Rattus norvegicus: one gene and its partners. The protein of the gene in region 1 interacts with the protein of each later gene in a pairwise test. Links are inferred from orthologs where the notes say so. Each region holds a gene or a part of one and is shown in the gene's direction. Other genes may lie near its edges.

Region 1 (3,904 bases):
CCAACATCCCTCTGGAAGACTCAATGTGGCCTCCTCTAGCTGGTATGTTTTCAGATGTGGACCCTTCTAGAGGAGAGATCTGGGCTTCATAGCTTCCTGTTGCTTCCCGGGTTTCTGGGAAGAGGGAATAGAATGGGAGAAGAGTCTGGTTTCATCCTGGTCTCTGCCAGAAGCCCACTCCCTGTACCTCCCTCTCCACCCCCACCTCTGTGAGCCTTGGCTTGTCTGCTGCTCCTCCCTTCCTGCTCTCATGCTCCCTCACACATCCAATGCTGACCCAAGCAAAGAACATTCTGGGATTCCCAAGGACACCATGATGCGCTGAGATCAGCAGTTTTCAAGCCTGCCTAGAGCCCAAATCCTAAGGGGTGGCCAAAGGAACTCTGCTTGGAAATGGGCAGGCTTTGAGCTTACCACTAGCCTGCTGTCTACAGTCATTGCATGGGTGAGCAAGAGCAGGGCCTGAGAGCTGTGGTGAGCATAGAGCTCTGCTTTCATGGAAGAAGATTCTGAAGCTTCTCTGCCCAGGGTCAGCACCTTCACTCAGTTTTCTCCTCACCTTGTTTTCTGTTTTGTTGTTGTTGTTGTTGTTGTTGCTGTTGTTGTTGCTGTTGTTGTTGTTGTTGTGTTAAGATTTATTTATTGTATGTATGTGAGTACACTGTAGCTGCCGCTTTCATGCACACCAGAAGAGGGCATCAGATCCCATTACAGATGGTTGTGAGCCACCATGTGGTTGCTGGGAATTGAACTCAGGACTTCTGGAAGAGCAGTCAGTGCTCTTAACCACTGAGCCATCTGTCCAGCCCCAGCTCCTCTCCTCACCTTGTAACCTAGTATACGTAGGTATAGGTGTCGGCATCGGTAGATACATATCCTATTCCTTCACAAATTCTTCCATGTGACCAGGGGCAGAGGCAGCAGAACACATTGGTCCTGATGCAGGGACCCACGAGCAAGGACAGAGGCAAAGGTGCCCTGGCTCACTGCCTGTCCCCTCTACAACCCACACCTTGGACCCCCACCCAGTACATCCATGGGGTACATGCCTACAGGCTTCAAGAGGTACCTGACTAACAGCTGGCCTCAAGCACACAAGTGAAGCACAAGTGTCCCTACCCAACTCTCTCCAAGCTATGTTTCCTGGAAATCTGTCCTGAAAGGGAGGAGACGGGGAAGGAAGAGATCCAATCGGAGGACCTGGCAGAGGCCTGGTGGCCTCCAGAGCTGCCAAGGAGGCAGGGAAGCCCATAGACAACGATCATGCTAAGGGACCTTCGCTTCTGTAACCCCCGCCCCCCCTAGAGTGCCACGGTAGGCTTGCGCCCTCGCAGTGGCAAGGGTGTCCATCTGGCAGTACAAGGGACATCAGTTACCTCTCCTAGTCTAACTTCAGAGAACTTTAGTCACACCAAGTCCTGGAAAAGCTGAATCAGAAATCATTCTAGATGCTCCCACCGGAGTGCAGGGAAACGGCTCTGTGCCGGCGCATCTCAGAAGGGACAGAGGAGCCTCCTGGCTTGTCAGCTGCTGTCACTCCTGTACCAGAACAGGAAAACAAACCTGCTAGGCGACCTCTGGTTATGTGGGCTAGTACACTAGAAGAAGTCCTCTGATCTAGGAGAGGCATTGGTCTGTGAATGCTCCCCTCCTCCACTAGCAGGGCTCCCCCCTCCCTTCCCCCTACCCTTGCCATGTGTGTGTGTGGGGGGGGGAGTTAACTCTCATCAACACCTCTGCAGATGGTGACAGGCCCTGCTGGGTCCTGTTGGGGGAGGGAGCAGGTTTAATCCTCAGTCATAGGAAGGGGAGAAGTCTCTACAGAGCTGGCACATCTAGGGCTGGGAAGCCCTGTTCTCACCTCCTAATGAGACAACTTGTTAGGCAGGGACCACAGTCTGCAGCACGTGAGGGATGGGTCAGGGGATGTGGAGTTTGAAATCTTTTGGAAATTTCTGCCCAGGTGATGAAAATACCAGACAAAGGCTGAGGTGGGGAAGGGCTGCTAGGACGATTAAGGGAGCCTGGCTTCTGCTGCGCTCACCATGCAGTACAATGGTCCTGAGAATCTGAATGAAGTAGCATTCCTAGATGTACCTGGGCTAAGCCATGCTGCCTTCTCTTCCCATGCTAGGAGTCAGGAGGGCGGGGCAGAGTGGTGCATCATGTCAGGTCCCAGTCCCCATATGTGAGATGACAGAGGTGGTCTAAGGTAAAGATATAGGAAAGAAGAAAGGTAGAGGTCACTAGGACCTGAGGAGCATGTGGCACGGAGGAGTTACAGAGGTAAAAGCAGGAGCAGAAACCGGAGGACAGACAGATTGCTTACAAACTAAGGTGGGCTGACTTCTGCTGCACACGGGGGCACACCAAAGGCTAAGGAAGAAGCAAGAGGTAGAGAGAAGTACAGAAGTAGAGAGAAAATGGCTTCCTAGGCTACTGTTCTGTAGTTGGGGGAGCAGGTAATGTTACAGAGAGGAAAAGGTACTGGTCAGTCGGGCCTATCCAGCCACTAGCCCTGGGCCACATCCAGACTCCTGCAGGCAAGACTGTCTGTGAACACAGCTAAACACAAAGTCATAGGCTTATCTGAAATGTAAACCTTGTATTTTCCAATCATATCATTTTTATTTTATTTACTATTATTGTATACGTGTGGGTGAGTGCAAGAGCGTGCGTGCCACGGCGTGCGTGTGGAGACCAGAGAAAACATTTTTAGAAGTATTAACTTCCCACCATGGGTTCCCACAATCCAATTCTCGCCATCAGGCTCACACAGCAAAGGTTGAGCTAACTCACTGACACGTCTGTAGTTTTGTAACAAGGTCTCGTGTAGCCCAGGCTGGCCTCAAACCGGAGGAGCCAAAGATGACCCTGAACTTCTGGTCCTTCCAATGCTCCTGCCTCTTGAGGGCTGGTGTGCACCACCACACCAGTTTTTATGAAATTTCTTCATGATTTCTGTTTTGTTTTGTAAATTATACCATGGAAAGTTTTGACCCACCTGGTAGAAGTTACCAGTAACAGTAAAGAGAAATACTCCATCAAAAGAGTCCACTTAGCCCTGGCTTTCCCCACAGGTTCCTGAAGAACCACAGGACCGCCTGGATACCTCTCTGGACCCATATCCTGACACCAACTACCTGGCTCCCTGTAATAAGGAGACTGTCATGGTCACTCTGTATGGAGCTACCAACCTTCCTACCTGCAAGGATAGCTCTGAACCGTGGCCCTACGTGGTGGTGTAAGTAGCTGGGAAAACTGAGGTAGGACTGGGTCTGGGTCTGCAAACAGAAACCATCTGATGAATATTTGGAAAGTGAGCTCCTGTGCAAATGAGAGACCTGTCTTGTCCCTGGCTGTGTGGTAACCCATGCCAGGACTGAGCTCCGCCTGACCTCACAGGGGCAAGCCCTTGTCTGTAGTGCCTAGGCTGTGTTCAGTGTGGGATGGGGATGGTCTAGGGGAATGTTACCAGCCTGGGCATTTGAAGTCTGTCCCCAGAGGGTGGGGGAGCAACTAGGGACAGATAGTTAGAAAGAGAAACAGCACTCAGAAGAATTGGTGAAGGCTAGAAAAGCAAACAGAAAAACTCGGAGGTGCTAATTACCCTTCTACTGGTCATTTCCATCCCACTGAGTATAGACCACCCCTGGCTTTCCCCCTGGAATGCTCTGAAACGTGAGCCTGGGTAGGGAAGGACTTCTGGTCTTTCTCTGCAAACTGGCCTTCTGCCTACTTTAATCTACGTGCAGCTTTCTCGAGTCCTCACTCTCCTGTTGCAGAAAGACTTGAGGTCTGCCTTCCTGGCTTTTGGGACCCTAAGAGGCCTCGCTGCTCGAAGCTACCCTCCTGTGGGTCCTTGCCTCTTCCTAATCATTTCTGTCATGGGGCTTTTAGTCCT
Region 2 (3,904 bases), on another chromosome or scaffold:
AGCACAGAAAGAACCGACCTGTGTGTTTGCGAGTCCAGACCAGTCATTTTGTTTTTAGGTTGAGACAATCCCTCACTTTGTAGCCCAGGCTAGCCTTGAGTGCCAGGTGTGCCTGCTTCCCACATGCTGACATCACTACCTTTGGCTTGCCAGACTGTTTTAAACAGACACATTGTTTTATATGCCTGTGGGAACTGACATTTTCCGTGTCTGTGCCAGCACTTGTTAACTCTTGCAGTCTCTGCTGTCCTGGTGATGAAAAGCAACACCTGGTCATAGTCCTGATAAACAGTCCCGTGACTAATGAAGTGTCTCAGTGAAGGTTTACTCTCAGAGGAATCGCTCTAGAAGCCCTGGGAGAGAGATTAAATTCAAGGCTTCCTACTCTGACACGGAAGCATTGGTCACTGTATGTGAAGGGCAAAAGCTCCCCAGAAAAGACTGGCAGCTGGGGCTGGGGCCTCAGACCTGTCATCTCCACACTAGGGAAGACTAAACTCCAAGGATTTCAAGTTCAAGGCCAGCTCAGGCAATGCAGTAAGTCAGCACATGTACAACACGCAGTTAATAACACAAGCTTAACAGTTTTTAAAAATCTGTTGAAAGATGGGATTTTTTTTTTTTTAAAATTGGGAAACCATTCAGACAGGAGGCCTGCCAGCAAACCTAACGGTCCAAATTTCACCCCCAGGACTCATGGAGGAAGAGGGGAACCAGCTCCTGCATGTTGTCCTCTGACCTCCACATGTGCACACACAGGCAGACACGTAGAAAACATAAATGTAACATTTTCTGGTTTTTTGTTTTGAGGCAGTCTCACCAATAGCCCTAGCTGACCAGAATTTTCTGTGTAGATCAAACTGGTTTCAAACTCATAGAGATCCATTTGCTTTGCCTCCCAAGTGCTACGTTAAAGGTGTGTGTTACCACACTGGGCAAATAGATGCCATTACAGCTGTTGTACCATGGAAGGGCTGTCCCAGCAGTCAGAGAAAGCTGCTCTGCTGAAGAGCTGGCTCTGGTCCCCAGCACCCACAGGGCATTTCACAGCTGTCTGTAATTCCCGTGCAAAGGGACTGACACCCTGTTCTGACCTCACGCGCACTGCATACATGTGGTCACACACACACAAACATGCAGGACACCCATACACATATAAATGAAAAGAGTTTTTAAATTTACATGTATTTTTGTTTTTATTACTTACCATTTTTATAATGTTTTATTGGGAACTGCACACTCTCCATATATAGTCTTCGGTAGTCCAGCGCTTGCTGTGTAAAGCCTGTTGGACTTGAACTCTGGCGGTCTGCCTACTTCTGCCCCAGGCGTGAGCAGTGAAAGCACGCACCACCACACCCAGCTTACATTTGCATAGGAATTTATTTATTTATGGTTGGTGTTTTGCCTGCATGTCTGTCTGCGTGGGTGTCAGATCCTGGGAGCTGGAGTTACAGACAGCTGTGAGCTGTCGTGTGGGTGCTGGAAGTTGAACCTGGGTCCTTTGGAAGATTGGCCAGTGTTCTTAACCACAGAGCCATCTCTCTAGCCCAAGATTATGGTTCTTTGTTTTGTTTTGTTTAGCTGCAAAAAAGATGATTCTTTCTTAACAGATAGTGTAGCAGAAGAATATATCGAGTATCACCAGATGAGGGACACGCAAGTCTGAGTTTTCTCCGAGCATTTACTTGTGTAAGAGGAACAGATTTTTTTTAAGTCTTGTTAATTTTTGTCATTTTGTTGAGTCAGGGTCTCCCTACATAACACAAAACATTTATGTAGGCTGGCTTCAGCCTCCTAAGTGGTAGAATTGTGGATTATGTTATCACATTCAATGTAAAGTTAATTGTTTTACTGATTTTATTAGTGTGTGTGTGTGTGTGTGTGTGTGTGTGTGTGTGTGTGTGTGATGGACTTTGTCATGATGTTAACTTCATTAGGATTTCTTACAAGAGTATGGGTAAGGTGTTATTTGCAGAAGATCGCTAGTGGCTACACTACTGAGGAAAATGTCTCTCCCTCCCTAGCAACCGCTACTTGCCTATAAACTGGTAGGAGGAGCTCATGAGCTCAGCCCTTCAGGACAGGCCCCGTCCCATGCAGATCCAGTGTAATAACCCCGGCAGCTCTGAGTGAGCGCCATGGCCAGGTCATGCACAGAGGACTGTTCAGAACACTCCAGCCCACGCTCTAGCTCTAGTTCCTTCTGCCGTCTCTGCCACATTCCCTGAGCCCTTGAGGCAATGCTACATCCTGTTTGTGACTGCACTCAGTAGTCACTCGTCACCAGCACTTTGACAAGTTAGGAGTCTCTGCAGTTACTGCTCCTCAGAGTGCAGCTGACCAACCTGTGGGGATAAACGTAGTTATTTAGAAGGCAGTTGGTGGTCACGTGGTGATGACTTAACAAACAGCTCTAACCTCTGCTGGGGCCTGACTTACAGTACACATGCAAGTCCCTCCTGTGGAGCAGGCCTCAGCAGTTGATTATCCCGTAATAGACTTGCAGGTGGGCACACCCGGCCAGACTAGACAGTGCTGTAGCATACAAATCCATGGCTCAGGCAGACTGTTGGTGGCCATTCTCCCCCCAGCAGCCTGCTGAGCACCTCCCAGCACCAGGGCTGGCTAGCAGGAGCTACATCTCAGTTCTGTCTAGCTTTCTCTGTGCCATAACCTGAGTGTGTGTGTGTATGTGTGTGTGGTGTGTGTGTGTGCGCACTCACGCGCATGTAGAGACAGAGAGAAATATGGTCCTGGACACTTTGTTCTCTAAGCTAACTCTTGCCGGTATTTCCTGACCATTACCTTGTAGGGAGGTAGCCCAGCCCTGGCACTGGGACTTTCCCTTATAACCCGTAGGTTCTTGGAGCAGTTGTAGCCACCACACGCACAGGGTGCTTCTGCTGATGCTTTTTTCTTTTTCTTTTTCTTTTTCTTTTTCTTTTTCTTTTTCTGATAGCCCTGGATTCAGTCTTTAGTCCAGGATGACCTTGAACCCAGAGATCCCTCTGCTTCCTGAGTACTGGGTTAAAGGTGTGAACTGCCACTGCCCAGCTCAAACTTTATTTTTTAAATTAGCTTACTAAGTATCAGGCTTCCTTGTGTCTTTTCTATACATCTTTTAGTTTTCTCCATACATTTTAGTTCCATACATCTTGACCCTTCCCCCTCATCTTCCTGTCTCCCTTCTTCTCTACCCAAGTATTCTCCTTTCTGCTTTGATGTCTTGTTAAAATAATCCTTTCTCCGTCTCTCCTCTCAGACCTGAACTAAAGCCGGTGGACAAGGAGTCGGAGGTGGTGTTGAAGTGAGTGCTAAGCCGGGGAGCTGAGGGGAGCTGGCATTTCTGGCTGCCTGCACACTCCACCCTTGCACCTCCTATAGGTTCCCTGATGGCTTTGAGAAGTTCTCACCGCCAATCCTGCAGCTGGATGAGGTGGATTTCTACTACGACCCTAAGCACATCATCTTCAGCCGCCTGTCTGTCTCTGCCGATCTCGAGTCCCGCATCTGCGTGGTATGGTCGCTCTTCTCCTCTTCTGTTGAGTGTCCTGGGAGTTGTCTTCCCGAACAGGCGTGCATTGGGCCAATCCTGACACAGTAGAAGCAAGAGTACAAAGAGAAATGGGCGGGGCCTAGACACAGGCACTCACACTCCCATCGCTGCGTTCTCTGTGGTCTCATACCTGGCATGTGGCACTTCGTAAATATATAGAGCAAGCAGTGATTTACTCTATATGTTCAAACTCTTAACTGTTTCTGGTTCTGAATTGTGACAGTCATGAGAGATTAAAGCAAAAACATAGGCTATAAAGCTCACGGGGTTTTTAAGCTTGGTTTTAGGGAGATTTCCTTTTCCTCAGAAAGGAGGTAAAGGCTGGGGAGATAGCAAGTAAAAAGT
Region 3 (2,595 bases), on another chromosome or scaffold:
CTTGATACACAGAGGTAGGTTGCAGTGGAAACGGATTGCATTCTGAGAGTTTCCATCACTGGGCTTTGAAGTGAAATGATTTTGGGGAGGACAATGGCAATGAAGAAACCCCTAAGTCAGTGGTTCTCAACCTATAGGTGAGGCCCTTGGGGCCGAAGGACTCTTTCATAGGGTTGCCTGAGACCACTAGAAACACAGATATTTACATTACAATTCATAACAGTAGCAAAATCACAGTTATGAAATAGCAGTGAAAATAATTTTATGGTTGGGGGTCACCACAACTTGAGGAACTGTATTAAAGGGTCACAGGATTAAGAAAGTGCAGAACCACTGCTGTAAGTTAAAAAACTGGCTAAGTAAGGGTAAAAAACATGCATGTGTGTTAAAGTACAATTTTGCTTCATTCATAAAACTTCCATATTTCTGCACGACCATGTGAAGGCAGAGACTACCATGCAATGATAGGTCCTGGTCTTGTTTTACAGACATGTTTTCACAGGTGTAATTCGCAGTGTTCTGCAGCCACAATATAATAAGACCTCAGTTTCTGATTCCACATTACTCAGGGCTTAAAGTTCCCATAAACCTGAGAGCATAAGTCTCTACTGCATGCAACACCATTGTGAAATCTTTGGCCAAGGGAGAGCCCACTGTAATTCCACAGCACTGAGTACTTTAGATCTGACACCTACTGTAAGCTCAGCTTCTCTCACCCAGCTGTCATGTATGCAAGACACCAGATAGCCCTAGATGTCAATTTGAAGCATTCAGCAAATCATACAGTGTCCTCACTAGTGGTTCCTAGTGAAAACACATATTTTCTTCTCCCCTCTCTTTGGGTTATTTTAGAACGATACACACAAGCAAAGGAGATCTACCAGGAAGCACTGAAGCAAGCAGAGCTGAAAAGAGATGAGTTTTCTGTTCAGCACATCAGGGAAGAATTGGCTGAGCTGTCAAGAAAAAGTAGACTTTTGACTTAATGTTTGTTGTTAAGCTATAGAAGTTCATTTTGTCATAGAGAGGTAACCTCTGATAACCCAAAGGAGTAACTGTTCCTTCATTGTCTGGACCTCAATCGGTGGTGTAAATCATTGTTGAAATTCAACTTTCTTCAACTCAGCTTCGGTGAAGGACAAGTCCTATACACTGCCACTTCTGTTTCTAAATTTTACTTTGAGATGGGCATCTCTATGTGTAGGCTGGCCTGGAAATTGCTGTATGCTTGACGTTGGCCTCCAACTTGGAGTACTCCTCCCTCAGCCTTGCAAGTGCCTGGCCCTACTTTTGTTTTTAAAGGTGAAACAGCCTTTAGGTACAGTCCATGCTGGTCTGAGAAAACTGTAGACTACAGTTGGCCAAGTTCCCCATGATATGGTCATTATACCTTCCATCAGATTTTGGTTCATGCTTAACTCTTCTCTATCTGTCTCTGCCAAACAAGTTACTTGTGTCATTACACATGAGGATTGTGGTGAGTTCTTACACACTATTTTATTGAAGCATTGTGAGATTTAATGACTATGAAGGGCAATGATAATTCTAGTTGGCCACCATTAGGCAGCATTCACTTCTCAAATGGAAATGAGACACTTGAACTGTGTACCTGTTTATATATAACTACTGGCAATGGTGGTGGCAGAAGGAAGGAAGCCCCCACCATGCCATCCGAGCACTAGGGTTCCTTTATAAAGACAGGCACATACGGGAGTCAGGCACTGCTGCCAGCACCGGCGTACACCAAGGTAACGTGCAACCCCTACCTGGATCCTGTTTAGCTCTTTTTTCTTTTGCAGTCTCTGTATTTACAGCTGTGAAGTGTGAAACCAATTAGATTGTCCGACGACTGTATCACTGCCTCAGAGTATATAAATACAAGATACATGGATGAATGCTTTTACCTTTGCAGTCTGACAAATGGTCTTTTGCCTAAGAAAAAGACAGTTTTTCTGGGTGCCATGAAGGAAGCCTGGTGGTGGTAGCATGCCTGTGGAGGTGCGTGGTGTGAGTAAGACTGCCAGTGGACTTTGGGTTCATGTGTTTATACAGGAGACAGTTTTCACAATAAACTGGAGACTATACAATACTTAGGTATTCTAATAATCTTAGAAAAACAATGGCCAAGTTACTAAATGGACATACTAAGGTCCAAATCCTCAGAGACGTACCAGAGTCTGTGCTGTGCGGGGAGAGCCCCATCTTCTGTTTGAGCTCATCTACCATTCACTTCTAGCTAACCACATGTGATCCCACTAACCATGAATAACCAGATAAGAGTTCAGTCACCTTTTGCTTTGAAAATGTTTTTACTTTTTTATAATTCCAAAGTTACCGAAGTTAGGTGTTTGTTGGGCTTTTCAATGTTCCACGGTGATTGACCTCACGTCCTGTGGCGTCTGTGGTGTGTCCCCAGCAGCACTCACTTCACTGTTATAAAAAGGCGGTGAGACAAAGGGACTCATCTCCTTTTACTGATTACAACTTTAAGCAATTTACATTTAATTTCATATTAAAGTTTTAAACTATACCATGTATGTAGGGTTTTCAGGGCTTAAGTGTATGTAAGACAATCACAGCATATGAAAATTTAAA
Region 4 (3,904 bases), on another chromosome or scaffold:
GAGAAGGTGTCTGACTTAGAAGGTATTTGGGAGGTGAAATAAGGCACAGTGTAGTGTACTGGGTCCCTTAGGGATGTGGGGGGTAGGTCAAGGTTGACTAACAAGTTTGCTAGAGCGCTGAGGTTGGCACACATAGAAGGTAGGTAGGTAGGGCTGATGAGTGAATTATGGGTGCGCACTCGGCGTCTGGAGTGCGGGATGCTGAGCAGCAGCTGGAGTCACTCAAATGTCAGTCACTGATATCAGACGTCATCGGAATTGTCATGGGAGAGCAAAGGACAGATACCCTGGTAATGCCAGCCATGCTTCTCTGAGCAAAAGAAATGGCAGAGAGCTGCTAGGAATGGCTGCAGCGGGAGGGGAAAGCGGTAAGAGTTCATAAAAACAAGGAGTGGGGTACTTAAGGAAGCACTTGTTCAGTAGGGTCACAGGAAACGAGGACCCAGCCCCAAGACTGCTCTGCCACCTGTCCCCTGGGATTCTTCTGGTTTCCTGTTGTTCTATTATAAAAAGTTCCACAGCTTAGAATTGCAGCAGGCATCTGCTTGGTTTGTGGACCTGCCATTTGGACAGAGGTCAGATTCCCTTCAGTTCCTGCTTTGTTCTGTGAGCCAAGGAAGCTTGGAGTGGGGCATTACTGCATGGCTCCTGGCACTGTCGCTGGGTCATCTGAAGGATAGGACAACTCAGAAAGAGATGGTGGAAGACCAGGGCTGGTTCTTGAGCCACCTTCTCATTCTCACCTAGTTTTGTTGAACCTAAGACATCCTTGCCAACTGGGCAGTGGTAGCCCATTCCTTTAATCCCAGCACTTAGGGACAGAGGCTGGTAGATCTCTGAGTTTGAAGCCAGCCTGGTCTATGGAGCTATTTCCAGGACAGCCAGGGCTACACTAAGATACTCTGTCTCAAAAAAAAAAAACAAAAAAACAAAAAAACAAAAAAAACAAAAAAAAAACAAACAAAAAAAACAAGCAAACAAAAACATTTTGCCAAGAGCTGTAGAGGAGCATTAACAGCCCATGGTGCTGAGGCAGCTGTAACAGGTTCGAGGGCGCACCAGACCATTATAGACCCCATTGTCCTAGGTTCGAGGGCGCACCGGACCATCGTAGACCCCATCGTCCTCTGGGGTGGAAGGATCAGTTTCATCTCATCTCATTCATTCAACATGGATTCCTTGAGTACTTTCTGTGTGTCAGGCTGAGGGCAGAGTGCCGTGAGAAGGGAGTTTATGGCCTGGACAAGCAAACAGGCACCATGTGAAGGAAGGGCTTTAGTAAACTGGCTAGGGGTTTAGTCTCCTAGTGGAGGAGCAGGCAGAACAGAGCTAGGGAGTTCAAGTTGGTTCACCATTGTCATTCCTTGCTGCTTGCTGTCTCCCTTTGCCCATGTGGTATATGTGTTTGCCATGTAAACCCAATTGTTTCTGTAATGGTCAGGAATTGCATTGTGTGAATGTGAATTTTAGGTGATAAAGTGTTAGAGGCTCCTGGAGATAGAAGAAATGGGCTGGCTCATGAATATCAACCTTACCCAGATTTAATAATATATTGAAATTCTGGTTTTAAAAAAATGTTTAGAATCTTCTTTTGAGACAGGGGAGCTCTGGCTGGCCTGGACTTCATAGAGATCCACCTGCTTAAGATTAAAAGCAAGGGTCAGGGTCACCATACCCAGATATACATGAGTCTTCTTTTTCCTTTTGGTTTTCAAGTCAGGGTTTCCCTGTGTAGTTCTGACCGTTGCTGTATGTGATTAACAGGCCTTGTCTCTAGGGAGCCCCAGGCCAGCCAGAACTACTCAGTGAAGCCCTGGCTCACAAAATGAAACTCAAAGCATCTTGTATGAAGCCGTGCAGCGCAGGATGATGTCATCCAGAATGTCTGGAGGCAGAGTGTTCTGAACGTTGACACACTGCACTCGGGACTCACTGCTCTGGTACCCGACCGCAGAAAAACAAGATTTGATTTTGAAAAGTGGAAAATTGGTGTTATACTTCTTTCCAGCCGAATAATGTAAAGTTGAAGTATTTTCCTCTTAAAACAGCAAACAGATGTTTCAGAAGACAGTGATGGTGAAGTGGATGAAGATGAGATCTTTGGCTTCATCAGCCTTTTAAATTTAAGTGAAAGAAAGGTTAGTTTCACTGCGTGGTATTCGGATCTGTGGTCAGGATGCAGTCTTTGTGTCAGAGATGATGCTGTCAGGGCAAGCGCTCCTTCCTGCTCTGTCCTTCTCAGTGTGGAGCGGTCTTGACCGGAGTGATTTGTACCAGCTTAAAGCTGATTACTCTGGTGGCATGATCAGTAACATCGTAGTGCCTAGTGTTGGGATGGTGGTTCTGACGCAGGTTCTGTTGCAAGATTCTGCAGCCAGTCTCTTAGCTCCCAGTACAGTGTGCATACAGAGGGTTTATTCAGCAGCTTCCAAAGTTGAGAGTGGGACCTTAACATGGGCTTACGTTTTCTCATCTCTTTATTGACTTAGTAATGAGTTCTAATAAAAAATTATGTCAGCTGCCTATTCTCTGAGAATAAGATGCGGGCCGCAGTCCACCTTCAGTTTTCAAAGGAACTTTCCAGTTAGTTCCCAACTGTTTTTGTGAGGTGGAATAGAAGTGCTGTTCCAGTGTGTGTTAATTAGAAACTCGACTTACCACCAATCATGGGATGGTGATTAGGTGTAGTGATGGCCGGAGAATTCTTCAGCAGTCATACCGAAGAAGCGCTAGGATGTAAAGGCAGCGGGAGGGAACCCAGCTCTTGGGGCAGAGAGCAAGCCTTCTCTTTCCTTTCCAGGGGACTCAATGTGCTGAACAAATTAAAGAGTTGGTTCTAAGCTCCTGTGAGAAGAGCTGTGAGCAGAGCATGGTTGAACAGCTGGACAAGCTTTTGAATGACACCAGCAAGCCTGTGGGCCTTCTGCTGAGTGAAAGATTCATTAACGTTCCTCCACAGATTGCTCTGCCTATGCACCAGCAGCTTCAGTAAGCAGTTCTGGGCAGTGCCTCAGACGCTCATTCCTTACTCAGGTAGCATCGGAGGTGGAGTCTGCAGCAGTGTAGGTTGGGCTGCAGCAAGCTCTGATGGGGACGGTGGGGTGGAGTAGTGCGCAGGGGCTGCTCATTTCCAGCATCCGGCCCCTTGAGAAGTTTTGATTACTGGTGGCAGGAATTTTAATATTTTCAAACATTCAGGTGGTAGAGAAACTGGTGAATTTTCAAGCTTTTCACATTTGACTGACAGTTTGCACATTCACACATGCCTGTAATTTGAACAAAATGTTGAACAAATACTAAAAAAACCAGAGTCAAATTCTTACATTCTGGTTTGATTAGTGAAACCAAATCCTTAATACTGCCCCTACTTCTTGGCCTCCCTATGTTGTTGAATACAGGAGTTTGAAGTTACAAAAACATTTAAACATAGAACTACAAAGTTTAGAGAATTGAGTGAGGGAAGGATTGTGTCACCTGTGCTTTGATGCACAGGGTTGAAGTGTAGACAGTCATGCTAGCTGTGTCCCTTGTGTAGACAGGCATGCTGGCTGTGTCCCTTGTGTAGACAGGCATGCTCGCTGTGTCCCTTCTCCCAGCTACGTCTGTGAAGTTGCTGCAGTGTCAGAACTGGGTAGTCACATGCTCTAGTGCTGTGCGCCGTGCCTGTGTGCCTCTTAATTTGCAGTTAAACATTGATTGTTTAAAAAGTGCAGGTTCTTATTTATTTTTAAATTTGCACAAAACAGTGAATCTGAGTGAGTCTGAGATTATTTCTTAGTGGGTAAGTGTCTTTCTGAACTCAGATTATTCACTGTTTACAGCAAAAGCCCGTCTCATCGCAGCCTAGGGTACAGCCAGTAGCGTGAGTTAGCCCAGAGGGTGCTGCATCAGTTTTCTGGGTCCA
Region 5 (3,904 bases), about 51 Mb from region 1:
TAAATGTGTTTCTTCTTTTTGTTTCTCTCTGACAGCAATGCTCCAAGTGTAAGCATGGTGAGTCCAGGCCTGGTCTCCAGTCCAGGGGCATGGTCTGTGTTTCTTGTGCTTTCGTCTCCATTGCTTCTTAGTGAGTTCTTTAGACAAAGCAGCGAATCAAAGGGGAACCTCCATCACTTGGGATCACTGGAACTGGCTTAAGAGCAACTTTTGATTTGAGGGGTGGGAGCATTCTGTTATAATTCCACTGCTGTCTGATAACACATGTAGTTGAGTCGTCTGGTGTGACCTCGTGATCCTCAGTCATCCAGCAAGACTGTTTCCTTATCTTTCTTCGTGGGCAGCATCTGCTGTGTAGGCCCGGACAGCCTCAGGTTTGCAGCAGTCCTCCACCTGTGTCTCCCAAGTGCGTGGATCACAGGCCTGGGCCAGCATACTCAGGTCAAGGCTTTTCCCAAGACAGATAGCTGTCAAGGGGATTACTAGAGATTTTTTTTTTAAGTTGCCTTTCGGAAAAGGCTGTATATAGCTTTGCCACAGTGCTTTAAAAAAATTTTTTTTGAAGATATGTTCAGATAGTCTCCCACACAATTTCTCAATTTCATAATTGTGACATGACCCATTTGTTACCCGGGTAATAAAGGCAGGTATATATGTAGTGGCACCAATTTGTAATCTCAGTGCTCAGTGTTGGAAAGGCAGAGACAGGTGGATTCCTGGGACTTCTTGCCAGCCAGGCTAGCCTAGAGCTTATCTCTGAGGGGTTGGGGGGACTACTAAGCACCTGAGGAACAACATTCAGAATTGACCTCTGTCCTATAGGATGTACGTACAGGGGCATAGATGCACACACACAAAAAAGGCAGAAATTTGATTTTCAGTTTTGTGTATAAAGGTCTTAGGACAAGCAAGAATTGTGAGGCTTAGGTAGCAGTTTATATAGGCAGCCTGTGTTCTAGATGACCAGATGAGACTCTTGGGCACAGTTTTGCTTCCTGCAGTAGTGTTGACTGTGCTGAGCAGTGATCTTGTACAGCACAGTAAGGCATGCAACATGTATGTTTTTTAATTCATAGGCCATTGGCTGTCCTAACAATTAGGGGGAGCAGTGAGTTGTGACAAGAATGAGAGTTGTATATCCCTCTGCAAAGAGGCAACTTTGGGAGTTTCTGTTGGGGTTACCTCTTCACCCTACTTTCCTGCCTGTGCCTTGGAGGAGTGTGTGGTTGTCTTGTACAGGTAAATGACTTCACCCTCCTTTCTGTGCAGACTTCTGCTGGATGTGTCTAGGAGACTGGAAGACGCATGGTAGTGAGTACTATGAATGTAGTCGGTACAAGGAGAATCCTGACATTGTCAACCAGAGCCAGCAAGCACAGGCCAGGGAGGCCCTCAAGAAGTACTTGTTCTACTTTGAGAGGGTAGGTGTCTTGTCTTACATCAGCCCTTTCAGAGTTGGCTTTCTCCACTTGGCCTGTTGACGACGTGAGAGCACTGGGATGCTGTGTGCATATGTGGAAGTTAGTGACTGGAGCTTCTGCACGTGCTTGGTATTGCCTTCTACAGATGTGGGTTTTCAGTTGTGCAGGATGCTGGGGAAGGACCTGGTACCCCCTTAGTTGAGTGATGTCCAGGACCCGTGTGCTCCATAAGAAGACAGAGCAATCCGAGGACATGGCCTACTAGCCAGTGTTTGTTTTAAACTTATCTGCTGACCTCTGTACCTTCCTGGAACTCTACCCTTTTCCTTCTTCCTCTGCTTTGTAGTGGGAAAATCACAACAAAAGCTTGCAGCTGGAGGCACAAACATACCAGCGGATTCACGAGAAGATTCAAGAGAGGGTTATGAACAATCTGGGAACGTGGATTGACTGGCAGTACCTGCAGAATGCCGCCAAGCTGTTGGCCAAGGTATCCACCAGCTCACTTTTCTACCATTAGTCCCTGTTGGCTGCAAACATTAGGGTGGGAGGCTATCTCTGAAAGAAGGGGGAAGGGGGAGTTTGGTGCCCTGACTAGCTTTGCATGCGTGTCTACAGGACCACATTTCCCTGTGCTGAATATACCAGAAGTCTTAGCCCTTTGCTAGATGTCTGTCTTAGTCAGGGTTTCTATTCCTGCACAAACATCATGACCAAGTAACAAGTTGGAGAGGAAAGGGTTTATTCAGTGTACACTTCTACATTGCTGTTCATCACCAAAGGAAGTCAGGACCAGAACTCAAGCAGGTCAGGAAGCAGGAGCTGATGCAGAGGCCATGGAGGGATGTTACTTACTGGCTTGCTTCCCCTGGCTTGCTCAGCTTGCTTTCTTATAGAACCCAAAACTACCAGCCCAGGGATGGCACCACCCACAATGGGCTGGGTCCTCCCCCCTTGATGAGTAGTTGAGAGAATGCCTTATATAGCTGGGTCTCATGGAGGCGTTTCCTCAAGGGAGACTCCTTTCTCTGTGATAACTCCAGCTTGTGTCAAGGTGACACACATAAAACCAGCCAGCACAATGTCCAAAGGACTTCTGAGCAGTTTGTTTAACTGTCTCTGCCAACAGAGAAAACTAAAGCCTTTTTTCTTCTTTGTTCCATTTATGGATAACTGAAAAGAAAGTCTATAATTGATAAGTATTGAGATGTAGATTTTACTGACCACTAAAAAACAGAAAAGTTCTGAGCAGCTGGTGGTTATGAGTCAGTATGAAGGGTGGTGGTTCTGTGGCCAGTCTTGTTTCCTGTTTCCCTGTCTTCCTGTAGTCCACCATCTCCATAGTCTGGCCTTGTTGCTTTTAGATCCACATGTCTAGAGTCATCATTTGCATGGTTGGGTATGAATTGTAAGAGCTACCCAATGTGTGGGTCAAGTAGAATCAAAGATAAGACTTTTTTCTTTCTTATTCCAGTGTCGATACACCCTGCAATATACCTATCCATATGCATACTACATGGAATCCGGCCCCAGGAAGAAGCTGGTAAGCCATCACTGCCTTTCTGCTGTTCCCTGCAACTTTAGAGGGGCCCCATTCTTACAGGCACTTTGCAGATGGACATGGTTCTGACCTGATATCATTGGGAGAACACAATGAAAACTGTCTTACTGCAAAAAGATATTTCTGGCTCTGGGCATCTCTGAAATAAACCTCAGATGCTATAATAGCCAGATGCACCTGATCCCTTAAACCTTGATATTTAAAGATCAATGGACTCAAAAAGCCTATGATCACTTGGATAGCCAGTGGCCGTATCATACACATCCTTATGTTATAGTTGTCTATTTCCTTTAGTTGTTCTTAGATATGGTTGTTCCTCCTGCTGATAAAAGTAATTTTTATATATTCCTTAAATGTTGGGAAACATAGCATTTATGTTGTTCATGTTCTAGCCTTTAAAACTAATGTTATCGAAGTAAAGCTTTGTGTAGAGCATATGTGAGTCTCAGCACCAGAAAAACACAGAGGCACAAACTTCATAACTCCAGTGATCCAGGATTGAGTTGTCTGTCCAGCCTAGACTATAGCAAATCCTTCTCAAAAACCAAGGCACAAATGTATGGTTGTCAAGCCTCTCACCTTTTACCAGATTGAATTCTTCTTTACAAAAATGCTACAATGTTTTACCTTAATGTGTCATCATTTGACAGGACAATTGTTTCCATTTTCCTCTCACAAATAAGACTGAGGAAAGTCTTTTTGTGTAACATTTTATTCCTCAAGTGTATGGTTACTATTTGATTTTTTTCTTCTAAGTACAAAAAAAAAAAAAAAACCTTAGCCCAGGCATCCTCGAATTTATATATAAGTACACTGTAGCTGTTCAGACACACCAGAAGGAGGGCATCAGATCCCATTACAGATGGTTGTGAGCCACCATGTGGTTGCTGGGAATTGAACTCAGGACCTCTGGAAGAGCAGT
Region 6 (3,904 bases), on another chromosome or scaffold:
ACTTATTTTTTATTGATTCATTCACTCTTTCTTTCATTCATTCATTCATTCATTCATTCATTCATTTTTGTGATAGTCTTACCTGTGTTCCAGGCTAGCCTAGAACTCAGTGAAACCTAGGCTGGTCTTAAAGTCAGGGTGGCCCATCTATCTGCCTTAGCTAGAGTCCCTGGTTTCTGGAATTTAACACTCATCAGTCCATCAGTCTTTTGATCTTCCTCTGTATGGAGCTTTGGGCTACCTCTCTGATAACTGGATCTCCCTTCCCCAGATGGCCCCTCTTAGAGAGACTCCTTTGGCTATTGTACAGCTAAATTATACTTCCTTCTTTGATTATAAATGTTTCTTTTTATTACAAAGCAGTGATGATAACGTTTTATCTGTTTATTCTGTGAGGATCATTACAAAGAGGAAGGAAGCAGGATAGAGTCCTAGTTTCAGAGTTTAATGTGTGGAGAAAAAAGTCCCGATTTTTCAGGAATCCGATTACTTATCAAATTTATAAATCTGGACGTTCCTTGTGTGTACAGAATTGTGGTACAGCATTGTGTCAACCTAGCACAAGTTAGAATTGACTACAACATGGGCCTCTGAACATATCTGTGCTAGGATTATTTTAATAATCGTGATTGTCATAGCTGAGGTGGGTAGACTCACTCACTCATTGTGGGTAGAACTGTTCCTTAGGCGTGAGGTCCCCGAGTTTGTGAAAAGGGTGAGCTAGGCATGCATGCGTGTAACTATGTTCACTGCCTCTCCCTGATATGCATGTGCTGTGATCACCTCCCTCAGGCCTTTCTGTCAGTCAGTAGGTAAATGTTTGGTGGCGATGAGTGAAAAGAGCTGTAAATAACCACGTCTATGTCATAGCTCTGTGGCCTTGTAGCATTGCAGATATCGCAAGTAGAAATTATGCATAAAAAAGGAGAGACAGTAGGTTACCTGTAATTTTAGTCTGGGGGAGGGAACTCATGATTTTCTTTTAAAAAAAAAAACACATTTTCATTTTTCTTTGAATAAATTTTCTATTTTAACTGTTTTCCTAACCTCATTTTCTTCAAAAAAAAAATGCTTGCTTTATATTCTAAGTGCTTTTCTATTGTCAATATCTTTTCTGTGCAGGACTATAATGATGAAATCAGGCAAGCACAGCTCCAGGAATTAACTTATTTGAATGGAGGTTCAGAAAATGCAGATGTCCCAGTGGTTCGAGGGAAATCAACTTTGCGTACGAGAGGTGTAACGACACCAGCAATAACCAGGTAGGTATAATTACTTTCTGTTTTTAAGTTGTCTTGCCATGGCAGCAGATTGAAAGTTGCTGTCATCAGAAGGTAGACATATTTGTCAGTGTGTCTTATAAACCTTTATTCTGATATTCATAGTCAGGGATTGACTTTAATGTGAGAAAAACTGAACCTAAACTTATATACATCCTGTACCACTTCCCAGCTAATAGTAGTTTGGTATACTGTTTTCCTCCCCAGTAGAGATTCAATAATTCCCTGAAATGAAGCTTGGTTTTAGGTCAGTTAGTAGTATAGGTATCATGAGAGGAAGATACCATGTGATCCTATGAGGATACCTTGTGTTTGTATTGACTGTGAGGATACCCTGTGTGTACTGACTGACGGTGAGGATACCCTGTGTGTACTGACTGACGGTGAGGATACCTTATGTGTCTCCTGACTGAGTATACCCTCTGTGTATACTTACTGCTCCATATTGAACTTTCCCCCATCAGTGCTAAGTACAGTGTTAGGCAACAAGAGGCTTTATGAATGCCTCTGCCTTTGTGTGCACTGTCAGACCGGAAGCTGCTGAAGAACTCCTGAGTGGCACACGGACACAAAGTTTTTATTTCTGTCTCTGAATTGTTGACTAGCTTATAATAGGGGAAAAATTGTTCCAAAAAAATTGAGCTGGCTCTTTAAATTGGTGGAGAAATTTTTTGTTGATATAGTTGTTTGGGGGGACAGTGCTTCCCCTCTGTCCTCTAGTTCTAGGGACATCATTTTTAGCTAGTAACTTAAGCTTTTCTGTTAAGCTTGAAACTATATAGAAATATCTCTTTCAGATAGAATATATGTTGGAATTTATAATAGTATTTATTTTCTATTTCCAAGCTCATTTGTGGAATAAAACTTAATTCCGGAGTATGCTAATCCAGTTATTTGTGTGACTGTTGTAAGCCAGGCCTGGGGGCCTGAGGGCCAGGTTCCTTCAGAGAAAGAGAGCTAATAAACATGTCTGTGGATGAGCTGTGAGGCACTGCACTGCTCAACAAATGAGTGTTCCTGCCCACCTTTGGTCTTGCTTGGAATAATTGCTTACTTGCTATAGTTTCCTGTGGTCACCATGACTAATTGTCACAAATCTGGTATCTTTCAGGTAGTTTTTTGTTGTTGTTTTCTGTTTTTTGGGGGGTTTTTTTTTGTTTTTTTTTGTTTTTTTTTTGCTTGTTTGTGTTCCTCACAGAACCAGAAGCTAGATGTCCAAATTCAGTGTCACTAAGCCAAGGATGAGGTTTTGACAAGGAGTCAGTCTTACCCCTGTCTCTTCTGTTCCTGGAGATTGCCAGGGTTTTATGATCTATGGCCCCATCATCACCTGTCGTCCATCTTCACAGTCTCTTCCTCTTGTCATTCCTCTCTGGCTCTCTTGTAGGGGATGTGTAACTGGATGGCAGGTTTTGGTAGCCTATTGTCATCATCCCATCAGGCCTTCTCCCATAATCTGGTTTCTGGGATTCAGGCAGCAGAATAGTGGTCAGCCTGACACTACTCAGCCTACTCCAATTACTGGTTTTGTCTTCACTCGATGGGAGCTAACACATTTGTACTATGTCACATGCAAAACAGTATGTTCGGTAGGTAGTTACGAAAGTCTTCCACCTTGTCCTGTCTATGCCTAGCCACTTCCTGCTGCCTGATGTGGTAACCTTGGTAACAGTGATATTAAACAAGGTATTATACTGACTGTCCTGCTGCCTGTTGCCATGTGGGGCAAGTAATGTGTTTTGTGCAGCATTGTTACAGCACAGATGCAGATTTTCCTTTGTGGACTGGAGGCAGCATGTACAGACAGATAAGAAATGGCCTCCCAGAACAGGCACTGCTGTGCCACCAGACAGATGCTTTGAGATGCAGTCCTGTAACATGTGAGATTGGTTTTATTAGAATATAATGCAGCTAAAACAAATTCCTATAGTCTAGTGGTACGGTAACCATGGTAACAGTGTTACAAACAAGGTGTTATACTGCCTGTCCTGTAAAAGCAGAGCGTGCACAACAATGTACACTAAGTGTACAGTATCTTCTGTCATCTAGTTTAAGCAAGTCTACATCAACTACATCTAACGAGGTCCCGGACTATCCATCATTTAGTGATGAAGGACCACATGTGGATGTAGAAATAAGTATCACCATCCTGGAATATAAGTCTCTAAGTGTTCTTTTCAGTGACACAAAGTGTCTACACAAATTCACATGTCCTGGGATTTTTTATATGTATTCACATATATAATAAATTTTGTTGTTTATCTAATAGCTTTTGCATACCACATTGTCAGGCAGTAACTCAGAATGAGTCTCCATTCTGGAGAATGTCACAATGGAGCATACTCAATACCAGTGCGTGGGAAGTCAGTGTCCCTTAAATCATTGACAGTTTCTAATTCAGAGCGCTTTCCATGAAAGTGTTGATGTTACCAAGAGTAAGAAGAGAAGCACTTTCTTTGCTCTATAGTGTAACAGTTAGAAAAACCTCTTCCTCTTTTCCTGGAAACCATGGTTAAGATGTGTATACTGCCATTTATTTGTTTACTACCTTTTATTTAAAGCTGTCCCCAGTTAGCGGTTAGGACTCAAATTTATCTTGAATTTTCTTTATGGCAAAAGATGAA

Evidence for each region. The genes of interacting proteins can lie anywhere in the genome.
Region 2: the proteins of Ccdc33 (region 1) and Abcf3 interact in a two-hybrid assay, tested with the Homo sapiens proteins (2 studies listed by BioGRID and IntAct). The two-hybrid records come from large-scale screens. The link is inferred for Rattus norvegicus from reciprocal best matches to the Homo sapiens genes CCDC33 and ABCF3.
Region 3: the proteins of Ccdc33 (region 1) and Ttc19 interact in a two-hybrid assay, tested with the Homo sapiens proteins (2 studies listed by BioGRID and IntAct). The two-hybrid records come from large-scale screens. The link is inferred for Rattus norvegicus from reciprocal best matches to the Homo sapiens genes CCDC33 and TTC19.
Region 4: the proteins of Ccdc33 (region 1) and Bccip interact in a two-hybrid assay, tested with the Homo sapiens proteins (3 studies listed by BioGRID and IntAct). The two-hybrid records come from large-scale screens. The link is inferred for Rattus norvegicus from reciprocal best matches to the Homo sapiens genes CCDC33 and BCCIP.
Region 5: the proteins of Ccdc33 (region 1) and Arih2 interact in a two-hybrid assay, tested with the Homo sapiens proteins (2 studies listed by BioGRID and IntAct). The two-hybrid records come from large-scale screens. The link is inferred for Rattus norvegicus from reciprocal best matches to the Homo sapiens genes CCDC33 and ARIH2.
Region 6: the proteins of Ccdc33 (region 1) and Khdrbs3 interact in a two-hybrid assay, tested with the Homo sapiens proteins (2 studies listed by BioGRID and IntAct). The link is inferred for Rattus norvegicus from reciprocal best matches to the Homo sapiens genes CCDC33 and KHDRBS3.

Annotation. Positions count from the first base shown.
Region 1 is NC_086026.1:67,406,652-67,410,555, reverse strand, and holds part of Ccdc33 (coiled-coil domain-containing protein 33), read left to right. Parts: intron 1-3,080; coding exon 3,081-3,244; intron 3,245-3,904.
Region 2 is NC_086029.1:93,846,404-93,850,307, reverse strand, and holds part of Abcf3 (ATP-binding cassette sub-family F member 3), read left to right. Parts: intron 1-1,867; exon of another isoform or gene 1,868-3,265; coding exon 3,266-3,310; exon of another isoform or gene 3,311-3,387; coding exon 3,388-3,520; exon of another isoform or gene 3,521-3,595; intron 3,596-3,904.
Region 3 is NC_086028.1:47,495,021-47,497,615, forward strand, and holds the end of Ttc19 (tetratricopeptide repeat protein 19, mitochondrial), read left to right. Parts: coding exon 1-14; intron 15-852; coding exon 853-986; 3' UTR 987-1,903; downstream 1,904-2,595. UniProt on the Homo sapiens protein: Required for the preservation of the structural and functional integrity of mitochondrial respiratory complex III by allowing the physiological turnover of the Rieske protein UQCRFS1.
Region 4 is NC_086019.1:197,948,823-197,952,726, forward strand, and holds part of Bccip (BRCA2 and CDKN1A-interacting protein), read left to right. Parts: intron 1-2,048; coding exon 2,049-2,138; intron 2,139-2,800; coding exon 2,801-2,988; intron 2,989-3,904. UniProt on the Homo sapiens protein: During interphase, required for microtubule organizing and anchoring activities. During mitosis, required for the organization and stabilization of the spindle pole.
Region 5 is NC_086026.1:118,178,593-118,182,496, reverse strand, and holds part of Arih2 (E3 ubiquitin-protein ligase ARIH2), read left to right. Parts: intron 1-35; coding exon 36-57; intron 58-1,269; coding exon 1,270-1,421; intron 1,422-1,767; coding exon 1,768-1,911; intron 1,912-2,895; coding exon 2,896-2,964; intron 2,965-3,904.
Region 6 is NC_086025.1:102,813,631-102,817,534, forward strand, and holds part of Khdrbs3 (KH domain-containing, RNA-binding, signal transduction-associated protein 3), read left to right. Parts: intron 1-1,122; coding exon 1,123-1,262; intron 1,263-3,904. UniProt on the Homo sapiens protein: RNA-binding protein that plays a role in the regulation of alternative splicing and influences mRNA splice site selection and exon inclusion. Binds preferentially to the 5'-[AU]UAAA-3' motif in vitro.